2 linked regions of the Cricetulus griseus genome follow. The protein of the gene in region 2 purifies or fractionates together with the protein of the main gene of each other region. This does not show direct contact. Links are inferred from orthologs where the notes say so. Each region holds a gene or a part of one and is shown on either strand. Other genes may lie near its edges.

Region 1 (7,990 bases), on a different chromosome or scaffold from region 2:
AACAAAGGAAGAAAGAAATAATAATTGTTAGGATGGGGCTAGAGAGATGGCTCATCTGTTAAGAGCACTTGTTCCTCTTCTTGTAGAGGACTTGGGTTTGGTTACTAAAATCTACATTGTGGCTCACAACAAATCCATATCTCCACTTCTAGGAGATCTGACCCCCTCCTTCTGACCTCCATGGGTGCCAGGCACACATGTGGACCAAACATACATGCAGGCAAAACACACAAAACAAAACAAAAAAACTTGTTAGTGGCTGATGAGATGGCTTAGCAGGCAAAGATGCTTGCCATCAAGCATAAGGACCTGAGTTTATCCTCAGAACTGGTATGATGGAAGGAGAGAACCAACTTCTAAGGGAGCAGAGAAAGCCCTGAGTGAGTAAAGTCCTAAAACGAAGTGTATTGTTATCATCGACACAACCATGCCAAAGGCTCTGATGCCTTAACCCCGTAAGAGTGGCAACACCTGCCCTGGGGAGGCTCGGAGGGATGCCAAAGCTTTTCTTGGGGCAGGGCATGGAGAGGAGTCCAAATGTAATGAAGTGACCAGAGTGTGCAAAAGCCAGAAACCTCAGCTTTCTCCTCCTGGATGTTTATAGCCTGAGAATGTTTACCAACAGACACCTCCTACAGATACCTCCTACCCAGACGAGCTAACCCCTCCCCCAGTTCTGTACACAACAGTCATGATGAGGTTATAGTGGTAGATGTCACTTCAAAGGTATGCACACCCCACCTGACCCCAGCTTTTCTGTAGTTTGTCATTTCTTCAGTGTTCCTTATTTCTTCATTGCCTCACTGCCCCTAGACAAGGTTCCACAGGACCCACAGCAAACTCCTACAAGATGTCTTCTCCTCACCACATGAGTGCCATGGGCCTCCTTCCCAAATAAATGTTAATAAAATAATAATAGTTGTTATGTGGGAGGTAGTGAGCATGCACCACAGCACACATGTACAAGTCACTGGAAACCTGTGGAAGTTACAGCTTTCCTTCTACCAAGCAGTTCCATGATTCAAGTCAGGCCCTCTGGTGTGGTGGCAGGAGCTTTTACCCATGGAGCCACCTCACTGACCCAATGTCTTATCTTTTAAGCATGTTTTTACTTAAAAAGCAAGTAAGAAACTTAAGATTTACAAGGAGGGCTGTAGTGGCCAGCCTCCAAGCTGACCTCAGTATCTGTCTTTCTTGGTTCTTGTACTCTAGGTCTAACTGCCTCCCACACTGTACTGCTCTGTCAGAAGGGATGGCATGGCTTCTGAAACCAAGCTATGGAAAAGGCTGCAGCTTCTGGTCACTGGCTTCCTGGAGAGGCCTGTATACTTCCTGCCAACTGCCATATGAGTGAGTTTGGAAGCTGATACTCTGGCACAAGAAAGCCTTCAGGTGACAACCACCTGCCCAATGTGTGGACAACAACCTCCTAAGAAACTCCAAAGTCAGAACAACCCCGCCAAGTAGCACAGATTCTTGACCCTCAGAAATCATGACAATATCTATGACAAACATAATATATAATATGTTTAAAGCAAATGGAGGAAAGATGGCTTGATCAATAAATTTTCTGGGAAGTGACTAATCAGTTAGGAAAACACAAGGCCCATAGTTCATACCATAAGTTTAAAAAAATGCCATGTAGATAACAATTTAAAAACATTTAAAAATATAAAAATACCAGAGTGAAGCAAGATGGCACACACCTTTAATCCCAACACTTTAAGTAGAGGTGGTTCTCTATGACTTTAAAGACAGCCTGCTCTACACAGTAAGTTTTAGGCCAGCCAGAGAGCTACATAGTGAGACCCTGTCTCAAAACAAAAAGATCAGAGAAATGTGTGTGTACATGGAAGTGGGGGTCAGACTATATTATCTTATGGGATGGCTGACCTTTGTTGTCATTTACACAGCTTCAGAAACACAGAAATTTAAGCCAGGCGTTGGTGGCGCACGCCTTTAATCCCAGCACTTGGGAGGCAGAGGCAGGTGGATCTCTGGGAGTTCGAGACCAGCCTGGTCTAAAAGAGCTAGTTCCAGGACAGCCTCCAAAGCCAGAGAAACCCTGTCTTGAAAAACCAAAAAAATTAAAAATTAAAAAAAAAGAAATATAGAAATTTTAAAAAATAAAAAAAGAAATATAGAAATTTTGACAAAAAGGCATTCAATTGGAAATACCTGGGTAGAGCAGGTTGCATAGAGGCACAAGGGAAGAAAGAAGAGGGCCAGTAAAGCATAAAAAACCAAAATGGGGTGACTTAGCCAGTTACCACAAAAATCAAAGTTAAGAAGAGATTCCCACTGAAGTTCAAATCCTAGCTACACCTTAGCTGTAGGACTTTCAACAAGTTGCTTAACATTTCTGTTTCTGGACCTTCAGTGAAATGTAGACAATTTTAGAGTTGTGTAGAGAAGCTACTTTATGTGTTTGCTACTAGTAGGTGATGACAAACACACTTAGCTCTCCTCTATCTAAGCATTGAACTGAAGTGCTGAGGAGCAAAAAAAAACAAAAACACTTTTTTCTCTTGATGGAACTTAAAATTTCACTGAGAATGCAGGGAACAAAAAAAAATGTGCTTTAAATCAGGCATTAGCAAAATACAACCCAAAAGCCTCAATAAAGTAAGTGTTTTTTCTTTAATTTTTTTTTTTTAAGTACGATCAGGGAAGCCAGGAATCATACTAAGCAAGCTCTCTACCACTGAGATACATTCCTAGACCGTTTTTACATTTTCAAAGGCAAGCAAAAGGGTGGATGTGAGTGTGTGTCTCAGCAGTTGAGTTTGTGTTTAATATGCACAAGGGTCTGGGCTTCATCCCTAGCACAGCAAAAATCAAAGAGCTGCAAGCAACACAAAACAAAGACTGTATGACATAGCACAAAGTGGGCTCACAAAACAGAAACTACTTTCCTGTGTGGCCCTTTACAAAAAGTTTGCAACCACTGATCTAAATAAATGTTATGTGAAATCAGGTGCAGTAGAGAGCATTATTATATGGACAGAAGGACTCCTTTCTGCAATTTACTCCGAAGTGGTTGTCTAGTGTCAGCTTAGTTGGTGGTGTAAGACTTAGTCTGACTTGAGCTCTGAAACAGAAAGCTCCCTTCTTTCTTTCCTTAACAATTTCAGCCAGTTCTTGTTTCCTCTCTTGCAGAATAATCGGTTAACTAGTGAGTGCCGCTTCTGTCTGAATTCTGGGCTTGCCACACAAAAAGAAGAAATTGTATATCATCTTTCTGAGCCTGTCAAGTCTCCGCTAGGTGAAAATGATCGAAATGTGAGGATAGTGGGTATTAAACAAAATGGTGCAGTGCACCGGAAGCTGACGACTTTCTTTTGAAACCAATCCATTTACTTCAGCATCAACTTTCCAGGACCAAAACACAGAAAACAAGACACAGCCAGGCGACGGATGTGAAGAGCTGAACTCTCAATTAGAAGTAGACGCAAGGCTCTAGTCTAGTTCTACCACTTGTGGCTACCAGTTAACACTCTGACTCAACGACTATGGCTACTTTGGTGGGGATGCCCAGATGTCCGCCGGGTCCCCTTCTGAGTTAGAAAATGCCCGTGAACCCTGGATCACCAGGCAGGTGGGAGGACTGCCTCGCCTCCTTCCACACCCAAGGCTCGCACTTAATGACGAGTTCTCAATCTCAGCAGCCGCGGTACTGCCTAGACAGGTAAAGCAGGGGAAACGACAACGCTCTGACGCAGCCCAGCGTTCTGCAAACCCGAAGGCATACGTGGTAACGCGCAAACAGTTCGTAAACCCGAAGCGATACGTGGAGCCAGGCGACACCGCTGCTGCGAGCTACCCGCCGTCCGTCTGGAGTCGGTTGGCACAGGAGGCCTGGACCCCGCCTGCAGCCTGTCCGGCTCCTGTCCGCAGAAGCGGCCGCGGGGACGGGCGACAGGAGTCGGGAGGGAAGTGGGACCTACCTGCGGGAAAGTCAGAAGAAAGCCGAATAGCGCGCCGCCGCACCTCAGAGACGGAGAAAGCCGCCACTCCCAGCAAGGTCAAGTCCAGAATGACAAGCGCCCGCCCTCGCCGATGGGCGGCTCCCGCTCCGCGAGGACCCCTCTCACCCCGCCCGCGGCCTCCGCGGGACTTGCCGGCTGCCCTCTGAGCGCCTGAATAGAAAATCAGACACTCCGTCCTCTCCTCAGAGGTCCTCGGTCTTCCTTCAGAAAAATCATCCTTTCGGCCCGATTAGTTGGGAGCAAGAAGGAGGGTGAGAGGGCCAGCGGCAACTCAGAGCCTGCGTTTTAGTAAGGCAGTCCATCGGGCGCCCTGCCGGACAGGCTGAGAAAAGAAAAGTCCTCGGCCCCAGCGCCCCCGCTAGAAGAGCTTTCTACTTTAGTCCTCTTCTGCTCAAGATGGTGGCGTCACGGGCAATTGGCAGTCTCAGTCGCTTTTCTGCCTTCAGGATCCTCCGCTCCAGAGGTGAGCCTGGCTGAGGGCTCGGGAAGAGTCTCGGAGTGCCTGCAGGAACTGGGGCGGCGGGGAGCAGCGTTTGCCCCTCGCTGTCTCCCTGCCACCCCTTTCCCGGGACCCCTGGAAACGGGGGTTACTGTCCCGGGACCCCATTTCCGGTGTCCTTGCGAAGGGACTGTCACTCCCTCTTGCCCTACTCCGGCGGTGTCAGGCTCTCCCTGACTTTCCTGAGTCGTTTCCACTCAGTCTGGCACTTTGCGCCTGTCTCTCTGCCGTGGCCCTGCGCTCACGCCCCCTTGTTGTCCTGTCCTTAGTGATTATCTTGGCCCCGACCCTGGTAGGTCGGGAGGACTAAGACCCCTTCTGTCTCATCTTCGAGGTCACCTTAAGAGATCTGTCAAGTTTCTCGGTGGCATTGACTAGTCTTACAGATCACTGCCACTCCCCGGTCTCCACCGTCAAAACCATTTTTGCAGAGAGCTCAACTCTCGCACTTCCAATAATTCTGCTATGAATGTATAGAAAATTGAAACCGAAGTTCTTTAGCTTAGGGGAAGAAATATTTCTAAAATATGGGAAAACTTGATTTTTTTTTTTTGAGGAACGAAGTATTAGATCCTTTTAAGAACTATTTCTAGCCGGGCGTTGGTGGCGCATGCCTTTAATCCCAGCGGTTGGGAGGCAGAGGGAGACAGATGTCTGTGAGTTCTAAGCCAGCCTGGTCTACACAGTGAGTTCCAGCGGATGCCCCGTGGGGCTCTATGAACTTGGATTCTTCCTCTTCAGACTGGTAGTGAGAGGGTTAAAGGGGTGGTGGTAGAAAAACGCCCTTTCCCTAGACTTCCCAAATCTGCAAGGGCTAATGTAACTTTAATTTATTGCATATTGCATATCATATTTGATACCGGTTACTTTGAGACTTTAATTTTCCTCACAAAAAGTGTACCATGTATAATTTACCTTTTTCTTCCTTACCAAGACATTTAATTAAGCTAATTAGTTGAATCTTTTTCTAGTTTTTGTTTTGTTTTTGTTTTTCAAAAAAGGGTTTCAGGGTCCTGGCTGCCCTGGAACTCACTTTGTAACTAGGCTGGCCTTGAACTCACTGAGATCAGCCTGCCTCTGCCTCCCGAGTGCTGGGATTAAAGGCCTGCACCACCACCACTTTTTTTTAATCCACACACATAGATTGCATATAACAGCCAAAACTACCACATTACCAACACTGGAGTGGTAACCGGGTCCCATGTGTTTTCTAGTCACTAGCTAGCTGTGTGACTTTGGCCAAGTGCTTTAATCTAAATGGGCGTTCTCATCTATAAAATGAATGAGAGTGATTTTTTCTTTGGCAGGAGAAGTTGTGTGGTGGTGCAATTAAAGTCACTAAATATGGACTGTAGGTTAAATCTGTCTTTTACCTTCTGGTGACCTTGGGAATTAATTTCAGTATCTTTTTCTCATTGGTAAAATGGAGTCAATTACATGTAAGTCTAAAGAAGTTACATTAGGTATAAAACAGCTTATCATGGGAATAAGTTCTCAATAAATGTTATTGACTCTTCACTGCTTGAAGTAATGATTTTATAAAGCTGAGAATTTTTAATCTATCCGTTTTACATAGGTGATGAAGAGCTAACAGCCAGATTTTCCTATACTCCTACATAGAAACATATACATTAATACATTAACTGTATTATGTTTTCATTAAGAAAGTGTAGTCAGTAGGAAAGTCGATTTAAAATTAGCTGCACAGGGCTGGAGAGATGGCTCAGCCATTAAAGGGTAGGCTCACAACCAAAAAATTAGCTGCACACCTGATTTTCTGTTTATCGTCTAGACTCAACAGGTCAGTCCTTGACCCTGAGAGTGTGTGCAGGCATTACCAATGAACTATGGCATTTCCTGGAGAAAGAGTAAACCTTCTGATTATTGAAGTTTCAGAACATTTCTGCTGTAAACATAGTACTATCATTCTAGTATGACTATCAAATAAAAAACTCACAAATTGACCTTCCTATCTGTTTAATTCCTATTTCTCCTAATTCTCAAGTGTGTAAGTGATAGTAGAAGAATTTTACAGGAAATGAAAGGCAGTTATTAGGTATTTGTGGTATTTTTAAATCTGACTCACTTCTTGATCCATCCATTCCTTGTACCGGGATTGGATTTTGAAAAAGCTATAAATTACTATAAACTAAAGTAACATTTTCAAAGTTGTGTCAGCATAATTCAACTTTTTCCACTGATTATAGTTTTATGTGATCTTGTAGCTATTTTCTTGAGTTACGTATGAAGATGATTAAAAAGTAGGGCAAAGGTTTCACTTTTGCTGGCACTGGAAATATAGGCTAAAGTTCACACCGAGGTAGAGTAAACTTTGCTGTTAGGCTTGGGTAAGGCTGGATTCCAGAAGCAAAGCTACTGGGTACTTCGGCTTGATTAAATTGACTGTGGTTAGGAATCTTTTTCAACATGTTTGTGCATTTACTGTTCCTTCTCTTTGCTTTTTGTCTCTGCTGATTGAGAAGAGGTTTGTATAAGTGTGTGGGAGTGTATTTACTCCAAAGAGGGGTTAGTGGGCAAGAATTAAAATGGCTTAAATAATAGGTTAATGAGCACCAACTCTCTCTCTCTCTCTCTCTCTCTCTCTCTCTCTCTCTCTCTCTCACACACACACACACACACACACACACACACACACACACACACTTACTTACACTTTAGAGACAAGATCTCACTAAATAGATCTGGCTGGCTGGCTCTTAATGATCCACCTACCTCTGCCCCCTGAGGTGTGCTACCACACCAGCTTTCATCAACAACCTTTAAAGCACAAATATTTGTTTTTTTAAGATTGACTCTGCCATGAGTGGTGACAAGCACCTGTGATCCCAGCATTCCTTGTAGGGTTGGGCTGCTTGCCAAAGACATCCAGTGAGAAAAATGGTGATTAGAACCACAATGGCTGGGGTCACATGATTTGATCTCTTTGTGGTTACGCTGAGAACCTAAACAAGTTGGATGATGAGAATCAACTAATAAGCAACAGTGGACCGCATCTGGATTTTGTTACCAAAGATTGGGAATATTAGTGGTGGAATGCAGTATAGAGATTTTTCAGTTAGGAATGCTTAAACCAGCAAAGTGTGACATGGAATGTTTCCTTTGTAGCAGCCAGTGGTTGCACCTTGATTTAATGTTTTGTTTAAGACAAGGTCTCAGTATGTAGCCCTGGCTGGCCTGGAACTTGCTATGTGGACCAGGCTGGCATCAAATTCAGAGATCCTCCTGCCTCTGCCTCCTGAATGTTGGGATTCAGTGTATGCACTACCACATCTAGTGGCCTTTTTTATTTCTTGGTTTTTAAGGTTTATTTTTATTTATGTGTTGAAGTGCAGTTGTTTTGTTTATTTTATTTTATTTTTGAGGCATGCTTTCACTAGCTGGCCTAGAAATCACAGCAACCCATCTGCCTTTGCCTCCCCAGTGCCCAGTTATAGTGGTCAGAGGTCCTTAGTGGGTCCTAGGCCAAGGATACATAGTTCTG
Region 2 (7,772 bases):
CTGTCTGCTGTTCTTTTGGGAATTGGCCCCATGTAGCTCAGCTTGCCTCTCCCAGATGTTGACAGTCTGGTAGTGGTGGTGGGAGGTCCTGTCCTTGCCTGACAAGAAGCACAACCAGGGTACCTCTGTGCATACTCCGGGCCACCATGTCACATGCCTCCAGCCTGGGAAGTCATTCTGGTCAGTTAAAAGAATTTCTAGACCCAAAGAATCAGAGTACAGAATGCAGCTGTGAGGCTCACCAGGCCTGCATTACAAAATCGTACCTCAGGTCTCTAAGCTGAGAGAACATGAGGCTTCAGAATAGAGTCTGGGTAAAGGAGGTCTGCTCCAGCTCTACGGAGGTATAGCTGCTAGCACAGGCTTTGGAATTAGCCAGATGGTGCCCTATGCAAGGTATGTGGCCTCTCTGGCCTGGATGTCTTTCTCTGTCCAGATGTTCACATGGGCCCTCTCATGAAGGGCTCATGGAATGGTTGTGAAATGCATCTTTGGAGCCCGGTCCACAATGAACACCCCAGCTGATGGACACCAGCAACTGTGCAGTTGTGTTGACTCTACAGAAAGCCCCTGGGGACCAATAGAGGGTGTTTCCATGGAGAAGCAGGATGGCCTGTCCAGCTTGGGAGCCTTCGCACTACAGCAAGGACCCAGACCATTGCATCACGCACACGGCCCTGATGGATCATGGCTCCCTGGGGCACACAGGAGCCCGACCGTTGTGCTGGGGATGATGAAAGTCAAGCTCCTAGCAGCACGTCAGGGGATGCGGACCACCTTGGGTTTCATGCTGAGCCACGAAGGAGGTGACTCTTCCTGGGAGGAATAGGCCACACAGAAACTTCTGGTCCAGAGTGGAAAATGTGTCAGTGACTTCTGAGAGCCCCAGACCTCAAGTGAGGGAGACATTCTGTTGGGTTCTAGAGAAAGCCAGACAACTCTTTCTAAGAGGCGGGAAGAGCCTACAGGCACAGGGCCTCAGATTCTCAACTACTATTGTATAGAAGGCCAAAGCCCACATAGAGAACTAAGAGTTTGGCTGGGGTTTGGGGGTACGCAGTGTGTATCTGGTATGAGGCGCCCACCCATGCTGGCAGGCAAGCAGGAATACTGTGACTTTGGGGCACAGGAGAAGATGGGCAGTTCTGAGTTTTTCTGATGCCCAGCCCCACTCCTTCTCAGGTTGGAGACCCCAAGGAAGGCGGCCTTTGTTCTGTGGAGGCCACCTTCATCCTCTGTTCCCCAGGCGACAGCACGGCGACTGTGAAGCAGAAGTATGTACCCATCTGCAGTTGTTCTGAGAACCTACTTGGGGACAGTGGCCTGGATCAGTTTTGTGGTGACAACAGAGACTAAGTAGGGGTGGTCCTTGCCCCTAGAGGCCAAAGTGGACACCCTGGCACCATACTAACCGTATGGGGTGCGCTTAGTAACATTCATGTCCCAGAATAGTCCTGCCAGTCAAGAGAGGCTTCCTTGATTATGGCTGTGATTCAGCACTGGGCTCCTAACAAATTCATCCAGGCCTTGCTCCACTGAGGGGCCCTGGCATAGAAGGAGGACACCACCATAGTGGCTGCCTCCCCTGACTGCTTCTCATCTATGGAATGGGACAGCTGTCATCACTGCTACCTGGACAGGCCACCCAGAAAACCAAACAGTGCCTTAAGGAATCAGTCCCTCTGACAGGGTGCTGTTTGCTAAGAGCGAAGTCTCCTGTTAACTACTGCTATTTCTGGTCCCCAAGACAGGAGCAGAAAAGGCCACTCAAGCGCTCATAGTCCACCCTTCTTCTCTCCCAACCACCCACTGACCTCCAGTAGTACCTGAGCAGGTATCTAGCCCCCGGGGGATCCCCATACTCCTTAGAGGAGAACGTTCTTTGGAAGTCTAGATCGGTGCTGCAGGAAAAGGCTCAGAGGATTTAGAGCTCTAGGGAGGACTGCGCCATCAGGGGCCACCAGAGGGCGCCTGGTCCTTGGAGTCCAGGTCTGGTGGTACAAAACCAGACAGGACCCTGAGCTTGGCTGCCGCTTGGGCTCCGGCTATCCTGGCGGCCACCCTGCTTCTCAGTCTATGTGCTAATACTCTCTTCAGTGCCCTGGGGCTTGTAGAGACTCTCTCTCCCACTCTGAGGGCTATGAGGTGCAGCCCAAGGGGGTTCCAGGGAAGCAGGGCACGATTTCTGAGGTGCACCAATAGGGATGGTGGAAGAACACAGCCCCCAGCCTTGCATACCAATAAGTGGGGTGACCCTGAACAGATGCTGGACTCCAACTGGTATGATAGCAGTAATTCTTCAGGGTACCCACACATCCCAGCTGGATGGACAGTACTCGCAGCCGACAAAGACATCACCGCATTTTACTTGTCTTGAGTTCCTAACTCCCACATTCCCCAACCCTGGGCAGAAAGACCCAGAATCTCTGGAAGGCCACATCTCTGCCTCTTATTTTACCCTCTCAGTGCCCTTGTCACTGCCCACACTGCCAGTCCCTGCTGACACGGGCACAGTAGCAGTGGGTGGGTACACGCTTAAGAAGCTCCTCAAGAAGGCATTAAGGCGGGTGGGCCTGGCCATGCCATGGGAAGCTGTAGGCTGGAAGGTGTCAGACTGGTGTGTGTGGGGATCTGGAGTCTGGCAAGGATCAGAGGCAGGCAAGGATGCCCGGGGTTTAAGTTCCTATTTATGTGTGTTTGGAGGAGGGGAAAGCAGGACACCTTCTGTTGCCAGACACCCAGGTGGACAGTGCCCAGAGAAGTGCAGGAGGTGTGGCCTTGACATAGCAGGGCTGTCTGCAGAGAGAGGCACAGAAAGGCCTGTACTAGGGGTATCTGAGGGGCAGCTAGCCAAGAGACTGGGGCCAAACAAGGTATCTCTGGGTTCTGTCTCTCCCCAGAGCCTGGCTACTTACTACCACTCCCAAGCAAGGTAAGGCCACAGGCTACCCACTCTGGGTGACACTCCTGATTTTCCTCATTCAGAGTGCCCATGGTACCACTTGAGCTTGGCTTCTAGCCTGCAAGCCCCTTCAGTTTCAGAAGAACCCTACAGCGGGAATTCCCTGCTCACCAAGGCCCTGGTGTTGCACTTATCCAGGGGAGCTCCACACACATTGAAGGGTGAAGCCTGGGGCTGGGGAGGTCCTTAGGACATTGCATCGGCGCTCCAAGCTCATAAAGATTCGGTTCCCAGAGCTCCCGAGGCAGCGGGGAAGGGAAGGGAGGGGAAGGGCTGCTCCCAGCAGCTGCAGGGCCGAGGCTGCCGCCAGGAGGGCCGCTCTTCTTACAAAGAGATGACAAGGCCCCTGGGCGGGATCCAAGACGTCGACCACCTGCAGCTGGGCTCGTAGCTCCAGGCGGCCCCAAGTGCCCGGCCCGACCACGAGTGCGCAAGGGCCCGGGCGCTGGAGGGCACAAGTTCCTGGGTAGGAATCCCAGCGAGCCCTGGGGTCGCCTGAAGCCCACAGCGGGCTCACATTTCCCTGGAATTCAGGCTTGCAGGATAGGATCTCCTCCCATAAATCCCACTTAGGCTGCTCCCGCCGTGGACCCGCGGGAATTCCTAAGTAGAACCTTGACGCCTCTGGGAGAGGTCCGCATAGAGAAGTTCCTAGCCCGCTGCCACCGGGAGCTGTGCCCCGACAGACCGCCCCACAGCTACCGCTTGCTCCGCCACAAGGGCGGCAGGCACGCTGCCCCGGAGCTGGGATTGTCGCCCCACAGGCACATTGGGCCAAGCCAGGGGCTGAAGACGCCCAGCTCCAACCCTGACCCGAAGGGAGTGCACCGCACTGGGGTCCACTCGTCCCTAGCCGGGCCAGAACAGCGCTAAGAGGAAGGGGCTCCAGCGCGCAGAGACTGGGAACTGGGAAGCAACAGAGCGGATCGGAGCTCAGGGGCGAGGGCCGCGGGGGACAGAGCAGCGGAGGCGCAGGAGGCCACTCCAAGTCTAGGTGGCGGGTTCTGGCGCCCGGGGCTAGCTGCGGCGGGGTCAGGGGCCCGGAGCAGACCTCCTCCTCCTCCTCCTCCTGAGTGCTGGGGTCCGGAGCCCCCGGACACTGCCGCGCCCTTACTCACCGGAGATCTCTGCCTGGGGCACGTCGCTCAGGCTAAAGCCCTTGGCCCCGTAGATCTGACGGACTTCGCTGCAGCTCCGGCTCTTGCTGGCGGGGTCCCCGCGGACGCAGGCGACCAGCGCGGCGATCGCGCACAGCAGCCACCAGCCTCTGGCCCGGAGCTCCATGGCGGGGGCCCGTGGCTCCCCGGCCGCCCGCCCGCGCGCGCTTCCCTCCCTCGCTCCCGGCCGGCCGGCCCGTTCAGCCCAGTCTGCGAAGGGCAGAGCCAAGGTCCCGGCGCGCGCGGCGGCGGCGGCGGCGGCGCTCGTGGTCCAGAGGCGCGGCGGCGGCGGCCGAGGAGGCGGAGACAACAAAAGCCGGCTGCGACTGCGGCGCGAGGCGCGAGGCGCGAGGCGCGCGAGGTCCAGGCGCTCAGTCGGGCCGCCCAGAGCGCGGCGGGCGAACGCGCAGTCCCGGCTCAGCGCCTCCCCCGCCGCCCGCCCGCCCGCCCGGCCCCACGGCGGCCGCGGAGAGGGGCAGGGAGGGGCGGGGAGCGCGGCGCGGAAGAGGGGAGCGCCCGGGCGGGGCTAGGCGGGGCGGGGGGCGCGGGCGCGGTTGGGGGCACGATCGGGGCGCACCGGGCGCTCCTCTGCTCTCGGGAAGGAGGAGGAGGAGGAGGAGGAGGAGGAGGAGGAGGAGGCGTGCAGGCCCTTGCAGTCCACGCGATGGGCTCGGTTGCTGGGGAGGAGGGAGGAAGGGAGGGGGGGAGCCAGGAATGCAAAGCGGAGTCCAGGGTCCCCGAAGGTGCCTCCCCCAGAAGCCCAGTACTCAGGGCGGAGGCACCACCTGTGGGGGCGGGGGCGGGGCGGGGGGGACCGCTGAGGCAGGGCTTCCCTCGCCGGACGTGACATCACGTCCTCCCCGGCCAATCAGGGGTTTCCCCGCCCCCTGCCGAATTCGGCACCCCTTTGCTCTTCTCCATCCTTAAGCGTACCCGGCTTTCTCTTTCAGGGCTTCCACCACTCTGTCCTGGTCTCTCGCTTCCCTGGTCACCTGCACACCCACACCCCCAACAGCGCCCACCTCCCTACGCCCTTTCTAGCCGCTCCTGCACGGCTCCAGTTCTCATCTGATGTGTTTTGGAGGAGGGTGAGGGGGCCGAAGGCGGGAAACTGGCCAAAAAACTAGCCTTCACTAGCTCCGATGACTTATATGTTACAGATTGTCAGCGGGTGTTCTGGTCCCCTCTTCGTGATTCTTTAGGTGCTTGGGCGACAAAAGCGATGGAGCAGAGGCAGGTCTGTGGGCTTGAATGCAGGGTGGCAGATGACCTCTGGAAAGGAGTGGAGTTAGGAGACCATGCAGGACAGCTCAACCCCAGACGTGTTGTGCAGGACTGCCAAGCAGAGCTGCAGGGATGATGGCGGAGGAGGGGAGGGTGCCTGGCACCCCACCTGGGGGCTGGTGGTGCTTGGTTTGGACTTTCTTGCTTGGCTGCTGCCAGTGGCACTGTCCCTTTCTGCTTTTCCTTCTGCCCTGTGGGTAAAGGCCCCAGAGGCCATCATAGCTGAGGCCAGACTGAACCCAGATACCGAATCTGGAAATGGGAAGAAAGCAAGCGAACTGGCTCACTTGGTTGAGAGTCATAAGATAATGCCTATGTGACAGACGAGTCCAGGGCCCTTGGAGTCAGCTAAGTCAGGACTTACTTTTGTGACAACACCCTTAAATCACTCAGGATGCCCCTCCCATCAGTGTTCCTAAACTATCGGACTGTCATCCCAGGAGGCTGGGTTTCCTGCCCTGACTCCCAGGGAAGTCCTTCATCCATGCATACAGCCTTTGCTTGAGAGAAGCAATGGAGACCCAGTCGGGAGAGCAGATCCCCTCACACTCCTGCACTGAAACACTTTTCCTGACTCACCAATCCCAGCACACTGCATGCTGAGGTCTGCTCCTTCTTGTCCTGGCCTGACCAGGCCAGCTTGGGGCCCCTGCCACCTTCAGTAGGGCACTTGTACCTGACCCAGGCTCCTGTTTGCTTTATGAGCTCTCCATGTGGTCTGGCTGAGTATTAGGGGGTAGCCTCTTACGGCCTGGGGGTTGACTCAGGGTTAAACCTGGCTGAGGCTCAATAGAGGCCCATGTGTGACCTATCACCACCATTGCGTGCCTCTTTGTAACCTGACCAGTCTAGATAGTTCTTCAGGGCAGGTGGAGTGCAGAGCCATTTCTGGACCCCCAAGGCAGATCTCTAGGATATGGTGGCCCTTTCTATGATCCTGGCTCAGGTGATGTCCTGTATAGGGTGGCTTCCTCTCCTAGGGACATCCTTATCATTCTACCTGAAAAAATGCAGCATAGCACCTTTCCTCAGGCCACAGTACTGGCAGCCAAGACCTTCCTCCAGAGGGATGCTTCTTCCACACTGGATTCTCCACAACCTTGAGGGACCAGATATGTGAGCAGCTCAGGGCCTGCTATGGAACTGACTGAGGAAGCCTGAGGGCAGCATGTAGGGGCTGGCAGGTCCCCAGCAGCCTCCCCTCCCTTGCAGGGTATGACACCCAGAATGGCAGTGGCCTTGTTGCTCCCAGGGAGAGGCCATTGGATGTGTATGTCACACCAAGGTTAAGTTTCTATTCCCACTTTTACTGACCAGGACACTCGACTAAAGTGGCAGAAAGCTGCCCAAGAGTCCACCTAGTTAGGTGGCACCTGAGCTAACTCAGCCGTGTACAAACGAAAACAGACACTCACCAGCTGCTTGATAGACCCAGCTCACAACAGAGCATCCATCTCCTCTGGGGGTGGGAGTTCTTACCATAACATCTGGGGTATATGAATGTGCAGGAAGCTAGCTGCCCCATTGCTAGGTGCTGTCTTTAGAGTTTACAGAGGTCCTTCATTCTTTTTGGGAGATACTGTGAGGATCTGCCCGCCTCTCAGCCCATGTTCAGGACAGAGTTTAAGCCAATGGGCAGGGAGGGACATAGGCAGTCTAGTCCTCTCAGCACCAGGTAGGCAGGACCTGTCAGAGCCTTGGTGATAAAGAGCAAAGAGGCTGGGAATAATTGTCCAGACAGCAGGAGCTGAGGGGAATCTCATGGCAGAGGGGGCTCTGCTGAAGCAGTCAAGGCGACAAGGCCTCGGGAGAAACAGAAGACACTACCCACCCTCCAACCCACCCTGCTCAGTGTGGCTTCTGCTCAGCTGTCCTCACCTATGCAGCCTCCTTCCTTGCTGCCCCCAACCTACCAAGGAGAAGGAGTGGTTACAATTTAGAATAACAGTTGCTGGGAGAGGAGAGGTCTTGCGTCCCAGAGCACTGACTGCTGGAACCTCATCATTCCTGAGAGGAGAGCTGCACCCACCAGACCCTGCCCTACTTGCCTCTGGCTCTTGGCTGCAGAGCTGTAATCACTTATGAGGCAGCACAGCCAACAATTTAGCTGTCCCTCAGCCAGGCCGTAGCATAGCTGGGCACAAGTAAACCTAGGACATTGGATGCCAAATACAGGCTGGTTGGGGCTACCTCCTGTGGAAGTTGTGAAGGGGGTTACAATGAGAGGTTTTGGAAGAGTTGGTGCTGGGGCTCCTGTATGCAGAGCACACAGGGATGTCTTGGGGGTCCTTGCCTGCTGAAAGTATGGTATGGCTGTGAGAGAGAGGGCAGAAATGAATGAGGTGGGGGACATGTCAAATGGGGGAACT

What was found.
Region 1: the proteins of Gpc1 (region 2) and Hadhb purify together in Homo sapiens (co-immunoprecipitation; 3 studies listed by BioGRID and IntAct, counting the BioPlex papers as one, with this or other methods). This does not show direct contact. The link is inferred for Cricetulus griseus from reciprocal best matches to the Homo sapiens genes GPC1 and HADHB.

Annotation. Positions count from the first base shown.
Region 1 is NC_048600.1:14,125,000-14,132,989, forward strand, and holds the start of Hadhb (trifunctional enzyme subunit beta, mitochondrial), read right to left. Parts: upstream 4,069-7,990; 5' UTR 3,948-4,068; intron 1-3,947. Other genes in the region: Hadha (trifunctional enzyme subunit alpha, mitochondrial), read left to right, coding at 4,386-4,452. UniProt on the Homo sapiens protein: Mitochondrial trifunctional enzyme catalyzes the last three of the four reactions of the mitochondrial beta-oxidation pathway.
Region 2 is NC_048595.1:444,319,209-444,326,980, reverse strand, and holds the start of Gpc1 (glypican-1), read right to left. Parts: upstream 4,544-7,772; 5' UTR 4,247-4,543; coding exon 4,081-4,246; intron 1-4,080. UniProt on the Homo sapiens protein: Cell surface proteoglycan that bears heparan sulfate. Binds, via the heparan sulfate side chains, alpha-4 (V) collagen and participates in Schwann cell myelination.